2 linked regions of the Astyanax mexicanus genome follow. The protein of the gene in region 2 purifies or fractionates together with the protein of the main gene of each other region. This does not show direct contact. Links are inferred from orthologs where the notes say so. Each region holds a gene or a part of one and is shown on either strand. Other genes may lie near its edges.

Region 1 (10,659 bases), on a different chromosome or scaffold from region 2:
GGTTGGCTGGTTTTACTCTGCTCGCTGTAAATAGTTAAACTATGTCAGGTGAATTAATAGTTCCTGTCTTACTGAATCACCGCAGGGTCCTTGTATTTGAGGCGCGTTGGAGCAGGTCGTGGTCGACTAGAGAACACATATGCTCCGTTTGGAGCCTGGTTGTGGGGCTGTAACGCCAAAGCCATTCTTGCTCAATAAAATATCTGTTAAGATATAATATTTGCTGATAATATAAATAAAGAGACGCAGAAGAGTAAACAATGTAATGAACCTCTGCTGCTGCTGTTGTTAGTGGTGGTTTCTAGGCAACAGTGACCGCTACAGGTTAGTGACGTGTCGTTCGCGAACGATCCGGCTGTAAGAGCCGGCTCTTTGAAGTGAACGATTGGAACCACAATGGGAGCCGTTTTAGGATCCTTTTCGGGAGCCGTTTTTTCCTTCAGTATCTCGCTGTCTCTCCACCTCCCTGTCGTGCCACAGAGCCGACAGATTTTTTCCTATGTCGTTTTTTTTGTCCTTCGGTGCCTCGCTGCAACAATTTTGTAACTGTTTCTTTGACAATAGTTGTATTTTAGAGGCTTACACGTTTGTATGTTCTTGGTAAATCTGTGATAACTAGTGTAGAGGACTGGTGAGAACGAGTGGTCCAGCACTGTAGTAAATTCTACATCTTTCATTGTTTATGGCCTTTGAAGGGAGACAGATTCATGGTTTAATAAGAGTTGGTTGTGTTTGGTCATACTGTATAAGACACAGTAGGGTTGCAGCGGTAACCGGTTTCACGGTATACCATGGTATTAAAATGCACGGTTATCATACCGTGTGTGTTTGCTTATTACCGGTAAAAGGCAAGCCAGCGGAGAAACTCACCCGCGCATGCGCAACTCTGCTCCGCTTCAGCTTCTCAGCACACAGCGGTGAGAACGGCAGAACATGCATCAGACTAAACAAATCTCCGTCCGCCTAAAAAAAGGCTAAACTAAAATCAGCAGTGTGGGACTATTTCAGATACCCGCCGAGAGCACCCGAGGATGGTTATCCGATTTGTAATCAATGTGGCCGTAAAGTCACAGCTAAAGGTGGACATCCGTCAAACCTGTTCTCCCATCTCCGAGAACACCACCCCGCTGTGCAGCGCAAAGTATGTGTTTAGTTTATAATTTTAATCTGAACCTAAATAAAACCTCTTTGTAGTCGTGCACAACCCATGCGGTAAGCGCCCGCAAAAGCGCTGAGTTATCCGAAATTTGGGCACGCAGGTACAGGCGTGAAGTGCGTGCTACGATGGATTCACGTGTCCGTGTAAAGGTCCTGGCCGGACTGGATGTGAAAGACGCCATTCATTTACATGCGTTCATTTTTAAATTCTGACGTGCCTGTTTTTCATATGTTAAAACCAGACTCGCTGTGAAAGCCTTAAAATAGAAATCTCTATTGTGAGGATCATGTCAGAAATAAATCCCCTCTTTCTGCAGCATCTGGTTATATACCAACTTGGCAGTAAAATGGACGTTTACAACAGTTGTTGATCAGACACTGACCCAGGCTCAGTTTATCAGATATTAAATAATTTAAACTTAAATAATTGTACTGAATATTTTAAATACAGGATCTTTACTTTTTAGAGCACATGTAATGTGTGACACGTGTGTGTGTGTGTGTATGTGTGTGTGTGTATGTATATATATATATATATATATATATATATATATATTTTTTTATATACACCCTTAATGTCCTTAAGAGTAGTGGAAAAACCTGGTTTCCTTCACCTAATGGTGTACAGTTTATTTTTTTTAAGGAGACATTATCTATATAGTTGTTCCAGGTTTCTACAATAAATAGTTAATTGAACAAAAAACCTTTGTTGTAATTTCTTTAAGGGTCAGTTTAATAATATATGTAACAAACTGTGATACCGTGATAACCGTGATACCGCGGTATTTTCTGAGACGGTTATCATACCGTGAAAATCTCATACCGTTGCAACCCTAAGACACAGCATTACTAAAGTACTGTACTACTGAAGTAGACAACATTAAAATAGAATGCTCTAAAGTCAGTAATGACAGAGATCATCATACAAATTCAGATGCACTCAGGTTCTAAAGTATAAAGCCCTACACAGGATCACTTCTGAGTATTTGCGAGACCTCATCTCCTATTATGAACCACCATGATGACATAGATCTCAGGGTGCTGGTTTCTTAGTAGTTCCTAAAATTCAGAGACGCTCTGCAGGAGGAAGAGCTTTCTCTTATAAAGCTCCCTAACTCTGGAATAATCTCCCCGAATATGTTCGGGACTCAGACACAGTCTCAATCTTTATGTCTAGACTAAAAACTTACTTGTTTAGCTTATCTTTTAATTAATGTTATTAATGTTTTTTCCCTTTGGATAAGGCTGCAGATCCAGGGGTTCATGGACAGAGGGAATTGTGGTAAACTGGGCTGGTGCTGCTGTTCTCCCACTGCACACGCTCACTCAGGTTTGTGGACGGTGGAGTGGGTGAATGCTGGTGTTTCAGGCTGCCTTCGTGTCTATGTTTACTTCTGGCTCTCTACCTTTAGTTAGGCTGTTTCATTCAGATCTGCCAGAGTCATTAGCCACACTAGCCAAATATGATAATGTTTCATATTTTCTGTTCTCCATAAATTCAGTTAAAACTAATTCCATCTCTCTCCCGGATGTTGGACCCTCAGGATCTCATGTCCTCTGTCCGGCCAGACTAATGGAAGTTTCGGAAGTCAGCTCTTCTCCATCACCCACCACAGATTAGCTGCTCATCATTCATCTTAAACACAGAAGAGGACACAGCCATGGAGCCTCAGGTGGAGCTCAGAGAGTCACGGCCTGAGAAAAGGGAAGAATCTTGATTGATTGTCTGCCAGTCAGGGGATAGCACCACCACTGCTACCAGAACACTACAGAGGAAATTAAACAGTCAAGAGCCATGATTCTGTGGAGTATGATGTTGTTAAAGACTGATAATCATTTCTTAAATAAGAGTTTGGCTAGATTCAATCCTTGGCATCAAGCAGAAATGTGTAGTGTGTACCTAAATAACGTTCACATGTGGGGCCTGTATGATCCGACCAATTGAGACCCAAAAGCTTTTGTCCATGGGTTTCACGTATGGATGTCAGTGATTGCCCTATCAGGATCAGTGATCAGACTTGTCTTGTCTCGAGTTTTGCCAAATCTGAACTCAGTGTCTTTTTGATTCAGGTTCAGATGTATCAAACATATCATGTTCAGTGAACAGCTGTTTCAAGAATGTATGGAACACAAATGCGAAAAGAAAAACAAAATTACGATCCTCAAGAACCACGGTGTAACATAGAACAACAATAAAATAGTGCAATAAGATGCAAAAGTGTAAAAATAGTGCAACATAAAACTGTAACACTACAATAAATACAACAGAAGATACATTTCTAGTCAGAATAAAATGCTGGAAGGTGCTGTTAAAGAAACTTAAGAAGACAGAGCTCTTCAAAGAGCACTTACTCCCCTAACACCTCTAACTAACTACCTTCTACTACCAGATCAGGAGAATCTCTCACTATCTTTAATAAACTCCTGAAGACAGAGCTCTTCAAAGAGCACTTACTCTCCTAACACCTCTAACTAACTACCTTCTACTACCAGATCAGGAGAATCTCTCACTATCTTTAATAAACTCCTGAAGACAGAGCTCTTCAAAGAGCACTTACTCTCTTAACATCCTTTAACTAACTAATTACTTTTCCTCCTCTATCTCACTATTCCCTTTGAGCTAATTTAGGCTCATTTCAGTCTCTGTGTGCTGAGAGAGAGAGTGTGTGTGTGTGTGTGTGTGAAGAGTGGTGGTGGGGTTCAGTTCAGTTCTGTGTGTGTATGTGTGTGTGAAGAGTGGGGGTGGGGTTCAGTTCAGATCTGTGTGAGCGCGTGTGAAGAATGGTGAGGGGGGTCAGTTCTGTGTGTGTGTGAAGAATGGTGGGGGGGGGGGGGTTCAGTTCAGTTCTCTGTGGGTGTGTCTGAAGAATGGTGGGGGTTCAGTTCAGTTCTGTGTGAGTGTGTTGTGTGTGTGTGATGGGTGGGGTGGGGTTCAGCTGTGCCTCTGTGTGTTGAGGAGTCTGACTGCCTGATGGATGAAGCTGTTGCAGAGTCTAGTAGTGGAGGCTCGGGTGCTCCTGTATCTTCTGCTGGACGGCATCAGAGCGAAGAGTCCGTGTGAGGGATGGGAGGGGTTGTCCACAATGCTGGTGGCTTTGCGGATGCGGCGTGTGGTGTAGATCTCGGTGATTGAGGGAAGAGAGACTCTTCTCGGCTGTCCTCACTATCCGTTGTAGGGTCTTGCGGTCTGAAGTGTTGCAGTTCCCATGCAGGTGTTTAGGATGCTTTTTTACAGTCCCTCTGTAGAACATGGTGAGGATGGGAGGTGGAAGATGTGCTTTCCTCAGTCTGATGTTAAGTGAAGTTTAAGGGTTAACTTTATCTAGCACTCAGTGCTGCATCTTTACATCTAAGGCTGTATCTCTGAAAACATTTCCTCCTTTGAGTTTTAGAGCTGTAAAAAAGGGGAAGGCAGGTGGACGTTCTCTGCTCCAGTACCGTTAGCCAATCAAAGGCGATATATTTGCATGTATGAATATTTATGAGCACAAGCCTCTAATTTAGTAAACTAAACAGGGCTAAATAGAAACACCTGAGCATTCATTCATACTAGAGACCACAACATTGATGGAATGAGACCTTTAAGACATTGCTTATAGTACTATGCATACTATTAGGGTCATTATGGATATATATTTACAGTGTATTTCAAACACTGTATTGAAATATATGGTATTAGATCTAAACATGCGGGGTGATCACTAAATAAGAGTAAGTATTAATAAATACAGGACTGAGGTAATAAAAAGGGTATCTGGCTCCCTCATGTGGTGTATATTTATAATTGCATTTTTATAGTGAAAATCTAAAAGCCACTCCCCAGAAAATGTGTGTGTGGTAAATCATGTTGCTTATTTTCAGTTTTATTCCTGTACACACTGTAAACGTACAAGCTATTGTACATAACAAATATATTTCTATACTGTCACTACATCACTCATATGCTAAATTATCTGCATGTTTACTGTGTATTTGTACCTTTAAATCTATTTTTATATTAGCTTTATATATTGTAAAACAGTTTAGCTTGTGAAATATATTTTTAGTAAAAAAATATTTTTTGAGTAGAAGTAATTTGTGCGAAAGTACATCAGATAGATCTGGTTTCATACATTTCCATTTTTTTTAAACAACGGATATTTAATTGTATGTTTACATCTGTATATATATATATATATATATATATATATATATATATATATATATATATATATACTTTTTTACCATTTTAATACATCTGACAGTGTAATAATGTACTTATTACGGTATATTGAATAATGATCATTGTTCCATCTGTTAATGCATTGAAACGTTGATCTCCGACATCAGAACTGATTTATTTGTGCAAATTGGTTTTACATTGATTTAAGGTTATGATTGTATATGTATTGTGTGTATTAAACATCACTTACATTAAACATGTATATCTTGTTTCTTTTCTATAACTACAGCTCGTATTGCGTTCTTGCAGTGTAGAAATCAGCACAAATAATGTGAATAAATTTGTTATTTCTGTGCTGTTTCAGTGTACGGTCTGCTTTTATCTCTTAAATATAACTAGATACTTTTATACAGCGTTAGGGATCATATAATAAATAACTAGATACTAGTTATCAGGGACAAACGTAGATCCAATAAAAACTTTACTACTACTACGGTTGTATAAACGCCTTGTCCCTTTAGGGATTCCGTAGAGAAAGTTCCGAGGGGGTGCCGCTGGGTAATGAAGTTTTATTGACATTAGGTCAAAATCAGGTATTACCCTAAAACAAAGAATGGTTAAATAATGTGTTAGAACAGAGTAAAAACGGGCTGTGTGGGATAAATGTGTGAACTGAATGACAGTCAGGCTGTCGGCACATTAAAGTATTTAATAACAGCCCTCTAAACGGAACTTTATCACATGAGCGGATGTAGTCCGCAGGAAGCGGCGGTCCGGTCCGGTTCTACGGCAGCAACAGCAGGGCGGGGAAAGCCGGAGCGGAGCGGAGAGCAGCGGGGACGGGAGAACAGGGAGGCCCAGCAGCAGAGCAGCCTCCCCGGACAGAACCGCGGCGCTACCGGCTGGGGTACGGAGCTTTATTCACTGTGGCTCTCAGCAGAAATCTCGGTGTTAAAACACCGCTTATTAAAGTTCCACCGCTAGCAGGTGTTCTATCGAGTTGTGCTACCCAGCGATATGTGCGAGTTTGAATTGTTCCCCATTTGTTTTCCTCTGTTTCGTGTCACTTTATTTTCAGCATAATTTTGACTTACTGGCATTATATAATTGGCTTAAGTGTTAATGATTAATAAATAAATTTAAAAAATAAAATAGTTCTTGATCTCAATTATCTCGTATTTATCTAGCAAGCATTCAGCTTCATACAGTGATTTATCCATGTCTAGGCCATCCAGATAGCCAGAAGATAACATAGCTAGGTACAGGTATTAGCTATAATTGATATAGCTACTACTGTTTGTATTATCTTATATGATCAACCTTATATAATTTAGCCTGACCAAAATATTTTTTAAGGCTCAGCTAGGGTTACCTATTTTTCTTTTTATCTGTAAATTTACCTGACTTTACGTAAATGTATATATTTATGATAGTACACATACTTTTATATCTTAGTATTTTATTTACGTACAATATTTTATTTATTTATAGTGTCCTTGGCTTATTATTATTATTATTATTATTATTATTATAGGATACCCTGTGGTAGCACGTTTTGGCAAGGTTGCACAATTCGTCAGAACACTGCGATTCACTGAACTGCGCTGCTGAACTCCGCTAGCTGTGGCTAACAGTTAGCACGCTAGCTTTTCTTTGGTGTTGTGGTGCCAGTGTAAAGCTGTTGGCCCTGGTTTCCGTGGTGTTTTATTAAAGATGAGGGTTCGACCATGGCCACACTGTTAGCCAGCTACATTATTGTTTTAATATTGTAATTATCTAGCTGCTCTGGTCTCATGCTAGTTAGCTAATCAGCACAGCCAGCAGGCTAGCTCTCTGTTAGCATGCTGACTAGCAGCTTCACACAGTTAGCCTTACTGTCATTCAGTTGTCAGAGCTGTCAGGGAGTGTTTACTACAGAGACTCATTTAGGATCGTTAGGTGTGAAGAAGCCTTTACAGGTAATGTGTCCCCATACGGGTTGTGTATGGGTAGCCCAACTGGGAAGCAGTACATTTTATGTTAACAGCTTTCATGTTGACCCCACATATGGATGCCTGTAAGCAGGGTTGCCAGTTCCAACAAAAAATATCCAGCCCAAAGTCAGTCTAAAACCTGCCCTTCATAAGCTTAAGCTAGCCCAAAATATATATCTGTCACACATTTGAAGCGAATGGCAAAACAACTGAGTGTACCCCTTAGTATTTTGTTTATAAGGGGTTTATTATCAGTATTGCTGTTTAACTCTCCTGAACTCTCTTCTCTCCTGTTTAACAGTTTTTTTTTTATCGCCTGGTGATTTGTGGTTTCTCCTCTCTCTCTCTCTCTCTCTCTCTCTCTCTCTCTCTCTCTCTCTCTCTCTTTCTCTCTTTCTCTCTTTCTCTCTCTCTCTCTCTCTCTCTCTCTCTCTCTCTTCCTCCGTTTCTGCATCTCTCTCTCCCCCTTTCTCTACCCATCTCTCTTGATCTGTTTCTCTCTCTCTCTCTTCCTCTCTTTCTCCATCTCTCTCTCTTTCTCCTCCTCTCTTTCTCCTCCTCTCTCTCTCCCACTCCATCTCTCCCCCTTTCTCCCCCCCCCTTTCTCTCCCAATCTTTCTCCATCTCTCTCCCCTCTCTCATCTCTCTCCCTCTCTTTCTCTTTCTCCATCTCTCCCCTCTCCTTCTCCATCTCTCTCCCCCTCTCCTTCTCCATCTCTCTCCCCCTCTCCTTCTCCATCTCTCTCCCCCTCTCCTTCTCCATCTCTCTCCCCTCTCCTTCTCCATCTCTCTCCCCCTCTCCTTCTCCATCTCTCTCCCCCTCTCCTTCTTCATCTCTCCCCCTCTCCTTCATCTCTCTCTCTCTCTCTCCCTCCCTCTCTCTCTTTCTCCCCCTCTTTCTCCCCCTCTCTCTTTCCGTCTCTCTCCTGCTCTCCTTTTGTACACTGTCCTCCTTTATGTTGTTATGTTCTCTAGATTCTTTATTTTGTAAACAATCTTGGAAGATTGGAAGATTTTAGTGTACACGTTTGTCCGCCGTGTTGACGTAACATCCAAGGCAACACCCACTTTTTAGTTTTTTTGGCGGCCAATGTAATTTTTAAATGGAAACCCAAAAAACCCTAACCCTAACCCCTAAAATTCCACTTGACTGGATTTTAAAACAAGCCTAATTTGGCGGGAAAACCACAAACCTGGCAACTGTGCTTGTAAGGGGCAGTTAAGAGGGCAGGAGGAGGTTACACATGGGGCTGGTCTGAGTTGTACACTACACATGAGATTGAGGTGGGCTGAAATGATTTGACCCATTTGGGAAGCCCAACCGGGTCCCAGTAACACGTACAAGCCCACTCAGGTTGTTGTTGACTTTCTTCTTGATTGGACTGAAATGATAGTAGATCACATGGCTTTAAGAAGACTGAAACGTTTTTTTCCCTCTGTTATACAGATGTACTGATAATATGCTGATTATATAATAATGTAGATTTAACGTGTAGTAATAGTACATTGGAGATTTTTGACAAAATGTACTGCCTGAAAATTTTACGGTATATTTTCGAACATGCTGTTTCTTAAAACATGTATCATCCTTGTGTAAGTAACACTTACTTTACATATTTGGCTCTGTCTATATAGAGGCTAAGCTATTGATAACTTGCTCTCTGTGCAAACTAGACTATTTTACCAATTAAAAGTTGCAAGTAGACTCGCCCTCACCCTTGACAGAGCATAAAAGAGAACAGAATAGCGCAATTGGCTAAAATACAGCTTATTGAAGTATTTTTACTCGTCCTTTTAATGCTTATTCTTTTGGAATCTAACCCATTATTGCGTTTTTGTGCATGTATTGTACAGCAAGTTGATAACAACTAACCATAGCAGGCCTATCCTTACATACAAGTATATAACATTCTAAGTAAACATATACTGCAAATTTATTAAAGAAAGTCTGTATTGAAATTCACTCCAGTGCATCCTAACTGACTCTGAATTCATATCTCCCTCCTCTCTCCAAGCAGATGTGAACATCAGCATGAGTGTGAAGGCCTTTGAGCTGGTGCCCGCTGTGGAGCGGGAGCAGTTGATGGGCGAAAAGGTGCGCATCGGCATCGAGTGCATAGAATGCTGCGGGCAGCACTTGTACGTGGGCACCAACGACTGCTTTATCCATCACTTCCTTTTGGAAGAACGCTCCACCAAAGGCAGGCTTACCTACAGCAGCCAGAAGCTCCTGCAGAAGTTTCTGGGTCTGAAGAAGCCCGTGGCCGAGCTGAAGGCCGCCTCGGCTCTGGAGCGTCTCATTATCCTGTGTGATGGCACCGTCTCTCTGTTGGACATGGTCACTCTGGAGCCTGTACCGTTTGGTGGAGCCAAGGTGAAAAATGTGATTGCGTTCTGCGTCAATGAGAACCCAGTAACGGCCGACCCCTTCTGTGTGGAGATGGCGGTGGTGTCGGCGCGCCGACGGGCCGTCCAGATTTTCACAGTGCACGAGGATCGGGTCCAGATGCTGAAGGAGGTGACCACGCCTGAGCAGCCCTGTGCCCTCAGCGTGGACGGCTACTTCCTGTGCCTGGCACTGCCCACGCAGTACATGATCCTCAACTACAGTAGCGGAGCCTCGCAGGACCTGTTTCCCTACGACAGTGAGGAGAGGAAGCCCATCGTTAAGAGGATCGGCAGGGAGGAGTTCCTACTGGCTGCTCCGGGTGGACTTGGTGAGTTCAGCACCAGGAACAGTAAACAGTTGTCACTCATGTGGAAGCATACTGAAAGCATTTTGTTGATTATGTAATTTTATAGAATATAGGACAATATATTTGCCACTGCTGTGCAATTTAAGCAGTTAATTCCAGTCATAAATTTAGCTCGGCAGTGCCACTCTAGTCACATGTAAAATTTTTACATTTGCTCAGAGATAGTCAGTCTTTTGGTAAACAAACAAACAAACACTAAAGTTAAGTTATCTCAGCAAATGTTATTATACTATACTGTATCTACAGCTCCAGTATCTCATAGTGGTCATTCTCTGCAGCTCTGAGGACCAATTGTGGTGGATTCCTGTCCACATATTAAGGTGTCTTCAAATCAGACAGTGTGATACGGCATGCTGTGGTTGCATAATCATGATCCTGTATTGTGTCATTATTTCTGCTGGTAACTGAAACAGTGGGTGGAGAATATGGGTAGATTTTGAAATAGTGAAAAATATTAGTTACACAAATTTGGCCTATCATGATAACTATCATATTTTTTGGGATAATATGTTGAACCAGAAACTGCAAATAACAAAACTTTAATATTTTAAGATCATTGTATGCCACTTGTATAATAATGATATATTTGCATTATGGCCCTATGATTTCT
Region 2 (10,456 bases):
GACTCCGGTTTGTTTGTACCCTTAATGCGGTTCAATTGAGTAGGTGTGAAAACAACCGAACCAAGACCTGCTAGTGGAGGTGGTCTTGGTCCCAAATAAACTCTGGAGCGGTTTGCTTGTGGTAAGAACATGATCCGACCTCGATCCTAGTCAGCTCTCAAATATACTGCTTTTATTTGAGCTAAACTGCTGATAAGGCGCAGTTTAGTTTGATATATCAGCCAGATAACGCTAATTACCACAGCTTTAAATAAACACTGTTTCTGCTTCTCCATGCTGTTTACACGTGGTGTGTGCAGCTTTTACTACTCTGTTTACTACCTGTACATCTGCGCTCCTCATCCTATTGAACACAGTTTGATTTAAAGCAGATCTTTAAACTGCACAGTTATACGCGCTGGAACACAGAATCTTCTATAAAAGAGCCTTAATGTCCAGTAATTCAGTGGAATATGGCAAGTATAAGTTCTTTATTACTGTTATCTTTATATTTAATACTGTGTGTAAAACATCAGTAGATCATAGCAGAATTGTAATCAGCATGTCTCCGGTTTGTGTTTCTCTCTTTGTGCTGAGTAGCTGGCAGACGGTGGTGCAGACGTGATCATTAACTGCACCGGCGTTCGATCAGGTGACCTTCAGGCGGACCCTGAGCTCACACCAGGCCGAGGCCAAATTATTAAGGTCAGAATAAAAACTGAAAGAATGCTGTTTAGCAAATATTGTCATAAATCAATCAAGGAAACAATATTATGGCCACCATCTTGTTTCTACAGTCTCTGTCCAATTCATCAGATTCACTGTATCTGTTTCTCTGTAAACTTTATTTTTCTCCTCCATTCACCCTGTTCTTCAATACTCAGAACCTACAGGAGAGAAAACCACCACAGAGCAGATATTATTTGGTGGTTTGTGGGTTTTTCTCAGCACTGCAGTTACACTGCCGTGGTAGTGTGTGTTAATTAGATGCAGCAGTGCTGCTGGAGTGTTTAAACACCTCAGTGTTACTACTAGCTAACCAACCAGAAATATCCAGCCAACAACATTCTGTAGGCACCTTTCTAAGGGCAGCATCCTGTAGGCAGTATTCTGTGGGCAGCGTCCTGTGGGCAGCGTCCTGTGGGCAGCGTCCTGTGGGCAGAGTCCTGTGGGCAGCGTCCTGTAGGCAGCGTCCTGTGGGCAGCGTCCTGTGGGCAGAGTCCTGTGGGCTACAGGGTGTTTCAGCTGTAGGTAGGAGTGTGTAATAGAGTGGAGGTGAGTGATGATTAAACACAGTTATTAAAAACTCCAGCAGCACTGCTGTATCTGGTCTATTTAAGAGAGACAAAACTTACATTTAAACTATATGTGATACTAATATGAGTGAATAAAGCTTAAATAGCTTATAAACCTATATATAAATACACAATAACCCCATTGTAAAAACAATATTTTAAAAATGACTGCTGTAGAGTCAAATCAGTGGCTATGATAATCGTCTGAAAGTGACAGAATTTTTGTTACAACCTTGTCGTTACTTGTTACTGTAGCTGCTTTAGTTTTAATTTTTAATAGTTTAATGCAAAGTTTGCATTTTTTATTTGTTTTGAACAAATCATCACCCTGAATCCTAAACTCACTGGCAATAATAATTTTTTTTTATTAACACTTGTCTTTTTTCACCTGCTAGGTAGATGCTCCTTGGATAAAGCACTGGATTCTTACACACAATTTTACAACAGGAGTTTATAATTCTCCTTATATCATCCCTGGGTAAGTTACTTCACCTGCGCAATGGGTAAACAGGGACCACCATTTCAGTCAGGTTGATCACAATAAATATATATAACTTTATTTACTACCAGCAAAACAAAATACAGCTTAAGGCCAAATGACAAGTTTGGTCAATTACCCAGAGAGGAACTTGAACCAAAGACCCCAGCACTGATAGGTGAATGTGTTAACCACCAACCCCCTGTGCAGACTGTTTAGATTCTACTGTACAGTCTGCAGTGTGAAATGTGTGTGAGCTTAAATTCAAAAGTAGCAAAATGCAATAAAGAGTGAAAGAATTTAAACAGATTTCATATGGTCCTACACTTATATCTTTAAGCTACTTTTAAGACACCAGAAGCTGTAGATTAAAGAGGATTTAACTGTGAACTTCATCTTCAGGAGTCGTTCGGTGACTGTGGGTGGAATTTTCCAGCGGGGAAACTGGAGTGAGCTGAACAGCTCCATCGACCACAAGAAAGTGTGGGATGAAGCCTGTGAACTGGAGCCCAGTCTAAAGGTACAGAGATTACAGTAGAGATTTTTTATTTATACTGGGCTGATTGTCTGATAGGATGATAGGAATGTGGGCGGGGTCTTCTTCAGTTTTGAGTAGCATGTCCACTGCCAGTGTAGTGTAAAGTGTATTTATTGTGAAATTACTTTAATATAATATGTTTATTTTTCTTGCCAGTCCATAGAGCTCATACAACAGTTGGACACATCATTAACAGCATCTGCCAGATATTCAGTATTTCCCCCTTGTGCCACAACAGCAGATCTAACCGTTTGACCTGTGGTGAAGGTGTTGTGTGGTATTTGACTGAGATTTTTAAGTCCTGTACGTTGGGAGGTGGGCGGGGAACATCCCACTAGTTTTTTGGAGATGTTCTGACCGAGTAACCTGTTTCGCTGTGCTCCCCCTCTTTTTTATTGTTCAAAATATTTCACAACCCAAACTGTGTATTCACAGATGTGTTTAAGTCAAACACTTGAGTAGAATGGAAAATTAGTTGGTCTGATCCAGTAAAAGACGACTCTGAATAATGTCTGTGTCTGTCAGATGCATTCTGGGATGGAGTTTATTCATTGGCTGTATGCATAAAGGATTGGTTTTGGACTACAGGATCCAGGTGTGATATATCAGATGTGAGTCTGAATAAGTGACATGGGCAGATGCATTCTGAAGTGGAGTTTTTTCGCTGACCATCCAGAGTCCAGACCTCAACATTGTTGAATTTAGTGTATGGTGTTCTTACTGATGGTTTAGTCTGGAGATTAAATGAACAGAGGATGGTCCTGAATGTTTATGCAGTACTGTACAGTACATGCATGTGCTGGAACTTACCAACATCCACTTCTTTACATCAGTGTGTCCTGTCTCTCCTCAGCATGCTCAGATCATACAGGACTGGACTGGTCTCAGACCAGTACGCAGTAAAGTGAGGCTGGAGAGGGAGAAGATAAAGTCTGGACTGAACACGTTTGAGGTGAGTTCTCAGAGATTTTTGTTTCTGCTCCTAACTCAGGAATAATACTGCGTTAAATACCTGTCAGTTTAAAGAAATGTCATTTTGGACAGAAGCCTTTCTATTGGTTCATTAACAAAGTAAAAAGTACAATCTGAAGTGTTTAAATAATGTAGGAAATGTAGGATCTTTTCTTTATTATTTTCCTTTTTTATCGGACAGTAACAAAATCTATGGTCACCTAATATGAAGTAGTTCATTATATAAAAAAAGTTCAGTGTAACATATAAATGTGAAAGGATACAGAGCATGGACTGTTTATATACAGTATATCTTTTCTGGCAGTTTTACAGGAGTTTCTAATGCAGAAGTTTCAGAAATTTATCTTCAACTGCATCTTTCACTTTTCCTGTGCTGTTTTCCATTAGGTCATCCATAACTACGGTCATGGAGGCTTCGGCCTGACGATCCATCGAGGCTGTGCTGAGGAAGCTGCTCGACTTTTTGGAGAAACCCTCCAGCAGAAATCTAGACTATGATCCTGAAGATTCCAATCATTTGTCTGAATCTAGGGTGCAGTTCTTTGTCCACAGTTTTAGACGTGATGTGAGAGTTCACACCTAAACCTCATCGAAATTAGACGAGGCTAATATGACAGTATGATTTCTGTCATTCTAAATTGTGTTAGAATACTAATACAGTATTCTTTTCTGAGTATATTACAGATATGTTATCAGTGCTTAAAGAACTGTGACCAGCAGCACATTTCATTACAGAGAGTATAATTAGTCCTGATGAATTAGATGAATTAGCACTGTAAATCACTATAACGGGCATGGGCGAGTTTTGGAATAGCATTTTAAGGATCTCTTTCTACTGCTGCATTTAAAAAATGTCAAAATACCATGATGCATATTGTGATTAATAAATATGTCATCATATTCTCATCATATTGCCTATCTGGACTCAAAATAGATAGATCTGATGCCTAGTTTTTGGTCTAAAACATACTTTTAACATTCATATAAGGTATATATATAACTTTTACGTTTTTCTTTTATATTCTTCACTATTTTTCCGCATATGAGTAGAATTGTAAATAAAATCTCTGTAGACATATCTTGACATGGTGACCCATCCACTGAATAAGGTAGAAATAAAAATTAGAAATATCATATAAAAATCATTGACATTCATTTTTTTTGTGCTTAATCATAACACTCTTGTGCTTGAACTATGACTTACATTATAGTGATGTAAAAAATAATAATTAAACATCTGTTAAATTAAACATACCACAAAAAAGATAGAATGTTTGTGTCTTTGTAACTTACACAATCAGCATGGGATCAAATAATTATTACTTGATTATGATAACGCAATAAACAAAAATGATAAAGAAAAATGAAAAAAGACTTATTTTTTAGTTTTTCATTTTATTTTTTCTTCTTCTTTCTTTTTTGAAACATAATTTATTGTAGATACAGATTTTAATCCAGTGTGGTGAAGGATATCTGTGCACACAGACACTAAACTCATGTAGGAGATAAGGCAGCTCTCTATCCCAGCACACAGAACTAGACCACATTAGAGGAAACTTACACTGTGATATAAATATCTGACAGTTGAGTTTTGTCAGGGTTTAAATCAGTTAGTGGTGCTCCTGACCGGGTCGAAGCTGAAAGTCTGAACCGGAGTTTCACTGCTGGACACCTTAAGGGACAAAACTAAAATGTGTATTTTAACTTTATTATTATGCATTTATTATGCAAAAAATATGTTTAAAGCATAAGAATTATATATAAGAGATAACTTTAAAATGATGAGTTTCTTCGATTTTACCAAACTGAAAACCTCTGGAATAGGATGGAGGATTACAAGTCATCAAACCAAGCTGAACTGCTTGAATTTATGCACCAAGAGTGGCATGAGTTTATCCAAAAGCAGTGTGTAAGAATGGTGGAGGAGAACATGCCAAGATGCATATAAACTGTGATTAAAAACCAGGATTATTCCACCAAATATTGATTTCTGAACTTTGTGGTCTGAAAGCTCTGCTTCTTTTTTGTTATTTCAGCCATTTCTCATTTTCTGCAAATAAATGCTCTAAATGACAATTTAGAGGGAGAAATGTTTTCTGTAGTTTATAGAATAAAACTACAATGTTTATTTTACTTAAATATATATCTATAAATAGTAAAAAATCAGAGAAACTGATTCAGAAACTTTTTCTAGAGCTGTATATGTAAATCTGCGGCTTTGCAGACAGACCCCTCACCTATTAATTTAGGAGTGACTCGCGCGCTCCCTCTCGCGGTGCGCGCTTATTACAGCATTGTGATTCTAGCAACACTTGGCAGGTGTCCAAAACGATTTCCTGTCAAAATAAAAGTTCCCTTAAATGTAATAAAAATCAGTTTTGAGGCTGTAAATGAAATAATATGAACTAGTTTAATAATATGTACAGTTTAAAACTGATTGAAAGCTTTTCGAAACATATAAAAACGTTTAAATAACGTAGATAAAAAGTAAAAAAAAAGTAAGAAATTGTACTAAAACTAGTGTTGCTGGGTAATACAGTTTTGCGCTGCGACTTTATTAATATATTGTGACGCAGGACACATAACTCATAATAAAGTAACATAATAAAGAAAAATATATTTCTTTTAGCTACTGACAGCATGTTTTATACTGGGCGAATAGTAAAAAATCTCTAGATTTCAGAGGTTTGACTGTCCTAAACCTGAAGCCGCTCTGCCCACGTGACTCTCCCGCATCACATGATGAGTGTGGCGCTGCTGTGAGGAGGAGACATGGCCGCGCACTTGTCTTACGGCAGAGTGAATCTGAACATTTTGAGGGAAGCAGCGCGGAAGGAGCTGCGGGAGTTTCTGGATAAGTGCGCGGGGAGTAAGGTACAGTCCGGGGCGGTGGGTACGGGCTTACAGAGCGGTGTTTACTAACGTTAACTAACCATCACAGCTCCCATCAGATCACCAGCCCACCGTGTAGCTACTGTTTAATATCATAAAATAACACATATATACACTGATTCACAGCTGTCATATATAGATATAGATATATATATATATATATATATATCATTATCTTTATTTATATATAGCAGGAGTTATTCACATACGCGTGTTTAATATGAAACAGTGTTAATCCTGGATACTACACTGCTGTTTAATCATGTACTCAGTACACTGAGGAAGGGCTTTACTCTGTTTTCATTTCACATCCGCCTATTTTACCATATTAAAGGAGAAATCCAGCACGACATGGACTTCAGTTGTAGTGAAACACAATAACTAGTACGAACTGTTCTCAAATAATCCCCCTCCGTTCTCCCCCAGCATTTCCAACTACCAAACACAGCACTTTTAGCCGATGCTCCCAACAGGTTTACCGTGGTAGTGATTGGGGCATAGCATTACTCATGCAGAGAAATCACTATCTTTACACCATTAACAAACTCAAAGTAGCTCCACACTTCATTGGTAGAACTGTGAGGGCCCTGACATTTAAAACAAGGCACTGAGGCCCTGTCCACATCAATCTGGATATTTTTAAAAAGCAAGGTTTTTTTATATCCCCATCCACTAGGGGCGGTTTATATGGCCCTAAAATAATATCATGATATTTCATGGTATTTTCAAATTAACAGTACTCTTGCCAATACGACAAAACACTGAATTAAAAAAATATATCTTTTTCAAGAATACATTTTAATTTTTATATTTGCATATTATATATCACACCCCTAATTGAGGGATTTAAAAATACAGTAATTTTATCAGCTTTGTAACAGAAGACAATGATCCAGAATGTTATGATACTAATAATGCACTCCATATATCTCCATATATCCAGGATTAAAGTAAGATGAAATGAATCTGGACAGATATAATTAAAAAACAGTGTGAATTTTTATTTTGCTAAAAATTGCAAAAAAGTAGTACCCAGGGGTGGGTGATCTGGCACGATATTTCAGGGTATAATATTGGTTACGATATTCAAAAATGTTGGCAATATTATTGCGTATGATAAGATATGGCACACCCCTACTGTCCACACGGAAAGGTCATACTACTAAATACTGAAAGAAACTTCCACAGGCGATTTCCAACAGTTGTTTCCCCTTCGATGCAAGGTCGAAGCATTTTACTCAAAGACACAAGAGATTCTCTAGACATTCAAGGTTTTCTCGTCACTCCTCAGAAACAACTATTTCATTTTCAAAATATTCCCACCAGGTGCTTGTTGGTCCAGGCCTGGTCCAAAATCTCCCTTCGCTGTAAAGTTTGTATCTCTGGACTGGAGTATTGAGAGAAAAAACTGCATGCAGCTCATTTTGGTGCCTCTACTGTGTTTGGTAAAGTGAGAGTAACCTAAAATGAAGCTGTGAACATGTTAATCCACCAATTGCAGAGAGAATTTCAGCATTTTCAGAGGTTTAAAAGTGCCCAGGGAGTTTAGTAAAGACACTGTTTATAGACAATTATGATATCAAACTCAAAATTTAGATTCGAATTGAATCAGTTCGTTTTAATCACAGAGCTTGTTTAGTACCCTGCTTTAAAATCTGCCTCAAAACAAAAAAAAAACCTTTTTGTGCATTTTAGTACACACCTAAGAAACTGCAAGCAGCTGATCTGAGATCAGAATATTTTGTACACAAATATTTATAAATGAGTGTGGAAAAGTCTGATCTGTGGTCTCAACTGAGTTTGCTGTGAATGTGACGCACAACATTGCCACGCTTAAAAAAGATGCAAAGCATTATAACTTTTTTGTGGAGAAAAATCACACACATTACACAGCTTTATTATATATTGCTCTTAATTTGTCAAACAATTAGCATTTATAAAACAGAAAAACCTAAAAAAGACATTGATCTGCTGTTTAAGATTAGTTTGATCTACACTTCCTGGCCCAAAAAAAAAGTCATCACCAAAAAAAAAGGTCACACATTAATATTTGGTTGGATGGACCACGTTTAGCTTTGATATCAATAAGCTTCTGCAGTGTCACAAGCTTTATTTCAATGCTGATCTCTCACCGGCTCTCTGTCTGAGGTAAAGACGAATCTGTCAGACATCTGTTAGGAAACAAGTGTAGTGCACACAGAGCCTGAACATCAGTGACGATGCCACCCCACACACACACACACACACACACAGAGAAGACAGAGTGTGTGGAGATGTGTTGGCTGGTGAACGTATTCTAAAGAAAGGCTAATAGGACTTTCTCAAATCTAAACGCCTTTAGAGAAGGTTTAGAAGGTTTAGAGAAGTTCAGTCCGGATAGACTTTGTTTTAAAGTTTCAAGGCTCTGATGTGAGAGTATTTTGCTTTAAGCCAAATGAGCGATAAGACCATCAGCGTGAATGAGCCGGTATGTCGTCTTTGTTTTAAAGCAGTGGAAACAAAGCTAAAATTTAATTTAAAGCACAAAAATCCAGCCCAATTTTCCAAGCTGAATATTATATATATATATATTGTTCCTCCAGAGAGATCCTGCCTCAAGCCCCACAGTAAACGTTTTGGTGTTCCTGCTCGGATTTTGTCTGACAGTTACATTAAAAAATACATTTGTAGCAAGAGCTCTGGACTGCTGGGCATCTGTGTCTTTGATCATATAATGTATTAATGTATTAATGTAAATGTTACTAATCTATTTTTTGTTACTAGTAATTTTATAATGGGAGCTCAATGTCTGCTCTTAATAATACAATGTTAGTTTAACTGTAAAATGGTTTAATAGTATTATGCTAGTATATTATTACTGTGGCACATTGTCTTAAAGCACCTTTGGGAGCGGAGAAGCAGGGAAAAATTATTTTCTATAGTGGCACTTTAAAATGACTATTATCGTTTATCTCAATAATTTCTGGGATAATATATCGTCCTGAAAGTTTTGTTATTGTGACAGGCCTAGCTGAACCTAGACCTGACCAAGTTTATACTGGTTATCATGTTTCACTACAACACAAGTCTGTTTCACTCCAGATTTCTCCTTTAACACTATTTTAAAGACCATGCTCCTGTACCTGCTGCAAAGGGAAGACTGTTGTGTTGTAAAAGACTGTAAATCTTGTGTAAAGTCTGGGAAAGATGCTTTTAAGAGAATGGACACCATTAACATCCTGCTTAATGATTTGATGAATTGATGTTTTATAAATAAGCTATTTAATCATTTTTTTCTTCTGTTTGTTTTAGGCTATCGTCTGGGACGAGTACCTTACTGGACCATTCGGTTTGATAGCTCAGTATTCCTTGTTAAAGGTGAGTATTCATTTTAACCATCTTAAAATGTGTGGGGAAAAAAATTGGACATCCCAAACTGCAATAAAATGTTTTCAGGGAGGTAACACCTGGCCTGCATGTTATAGATATCTTAAGATATATAGTTTGCAGCACAGTGGGAAATTAAAACACATCTCAGTTGCATGTTTCGTGAATTTTACAAAAGGTCACTGTTTAAAAAAATATTTTATTTTATTTAAATTTTCTTTATATGTATATTTTGTGTAACCGGGTAAACATGTCTTCTTTTCACCACTTCACCACGGAGTGCTGGTTGAGTTCAAGATGTGATTAGTTGGTGTGACAAAGCATGATTGCTAAGTTAAAAAAAATTAGATTACTTTTTATAATATAATACACCACATGTTGTGAACTTGGATGAATGATGACCCTTCCACATGAGTTTAAGAGTGTTTTGGCAAATTAGATTCTTCAAAGAACTGTTAATTCAAGTAAACCTTGAAAAAGATGTGCTATAGAAATGCAGTGTATAAATTTTAAGATGCACTATACACCACTTCTGAATGTCTGAAAGAAGCTGTGTTCTGTTACTATCATTGATCCCAGAGGGAAATTCTGGACATCCAGCAGCAGGTATACATAGTACACAAAAGTTACAAAGAAGGTTAAGATACAGTGATAAATATAAAAATCCAATAAAATATAAAGTATAAAAGTACAGTCTTTAGTGTCTGTGTAATGAAGTTAGTGCTTTTGAACATAGTAGACTATGAACACAAGTTGATGTGCATATTGTGAGGATAACTGATGACAGACATACAGAAAGTGCAAATACACAGTTTACAATAATTATTTAAATTAAGCAGTGCAAACTTGTAGATATGTAAACAGTGGACAGTAAATAAACTAGTAGTGCAGAATAGAAAACTATAAAAATAATGTACATAAGGCATCTTTGAGAGT

Evidence for each region.
Region 1: the proteins of vps33a (region 2) and tgfbrap1 purify together in Homo sapiens (co-immunoprecipitation; 5 studies listed by BioGRID and IntAct, with this or other methods). This does not show direct contact. The link is inferred for Astyanax mexicanus from reciprocal best matches to the Homo sapiens genes VPS33A and TGFBRAP1.

Annotation. Positions count from the first base shown.
Region 1 is NC_064412.1:43,278,141-43,288,799, reverse strand, and holds the start of tgfbrap1 (transforming growth factor-beta receptor-associated protein 1 homolog), read left to right. Parts: upstream 1-5,980; 5' UTR 5,981-6,061; coding exon 6,062-6,227; intron 6,228-9,311; coding exon 9,312-10,010; intron 10,011-10,659. UniProt on the Homo sapiens protein: Plays a role in the TGF-beta/activin signaling pathway. It associates with inactive heteromeric TGF-beta and activin receptor complexes, mainly through the type II receptor, and is released upon activation of signaling.
Region 2 is NC_064429.1:3,076,180-3,086,635, reverse strand, and holds the start of vps33a (vacuolar protein sorting-associated protein 33A), read left to right. Parts: upstream 1-5,981; 5' UTR 5,982-6,034; coding exon 6,035-6,136; intron 6,137-9,445; coding exon 9,446-9,511; intron 9,512-10,456. Other genes in the region: D-amino-acid oxidase, read left to right, coding at 580-684, 1,670-1,752, 2,155-2,272, 3,144-3,242, 3,650-3,760.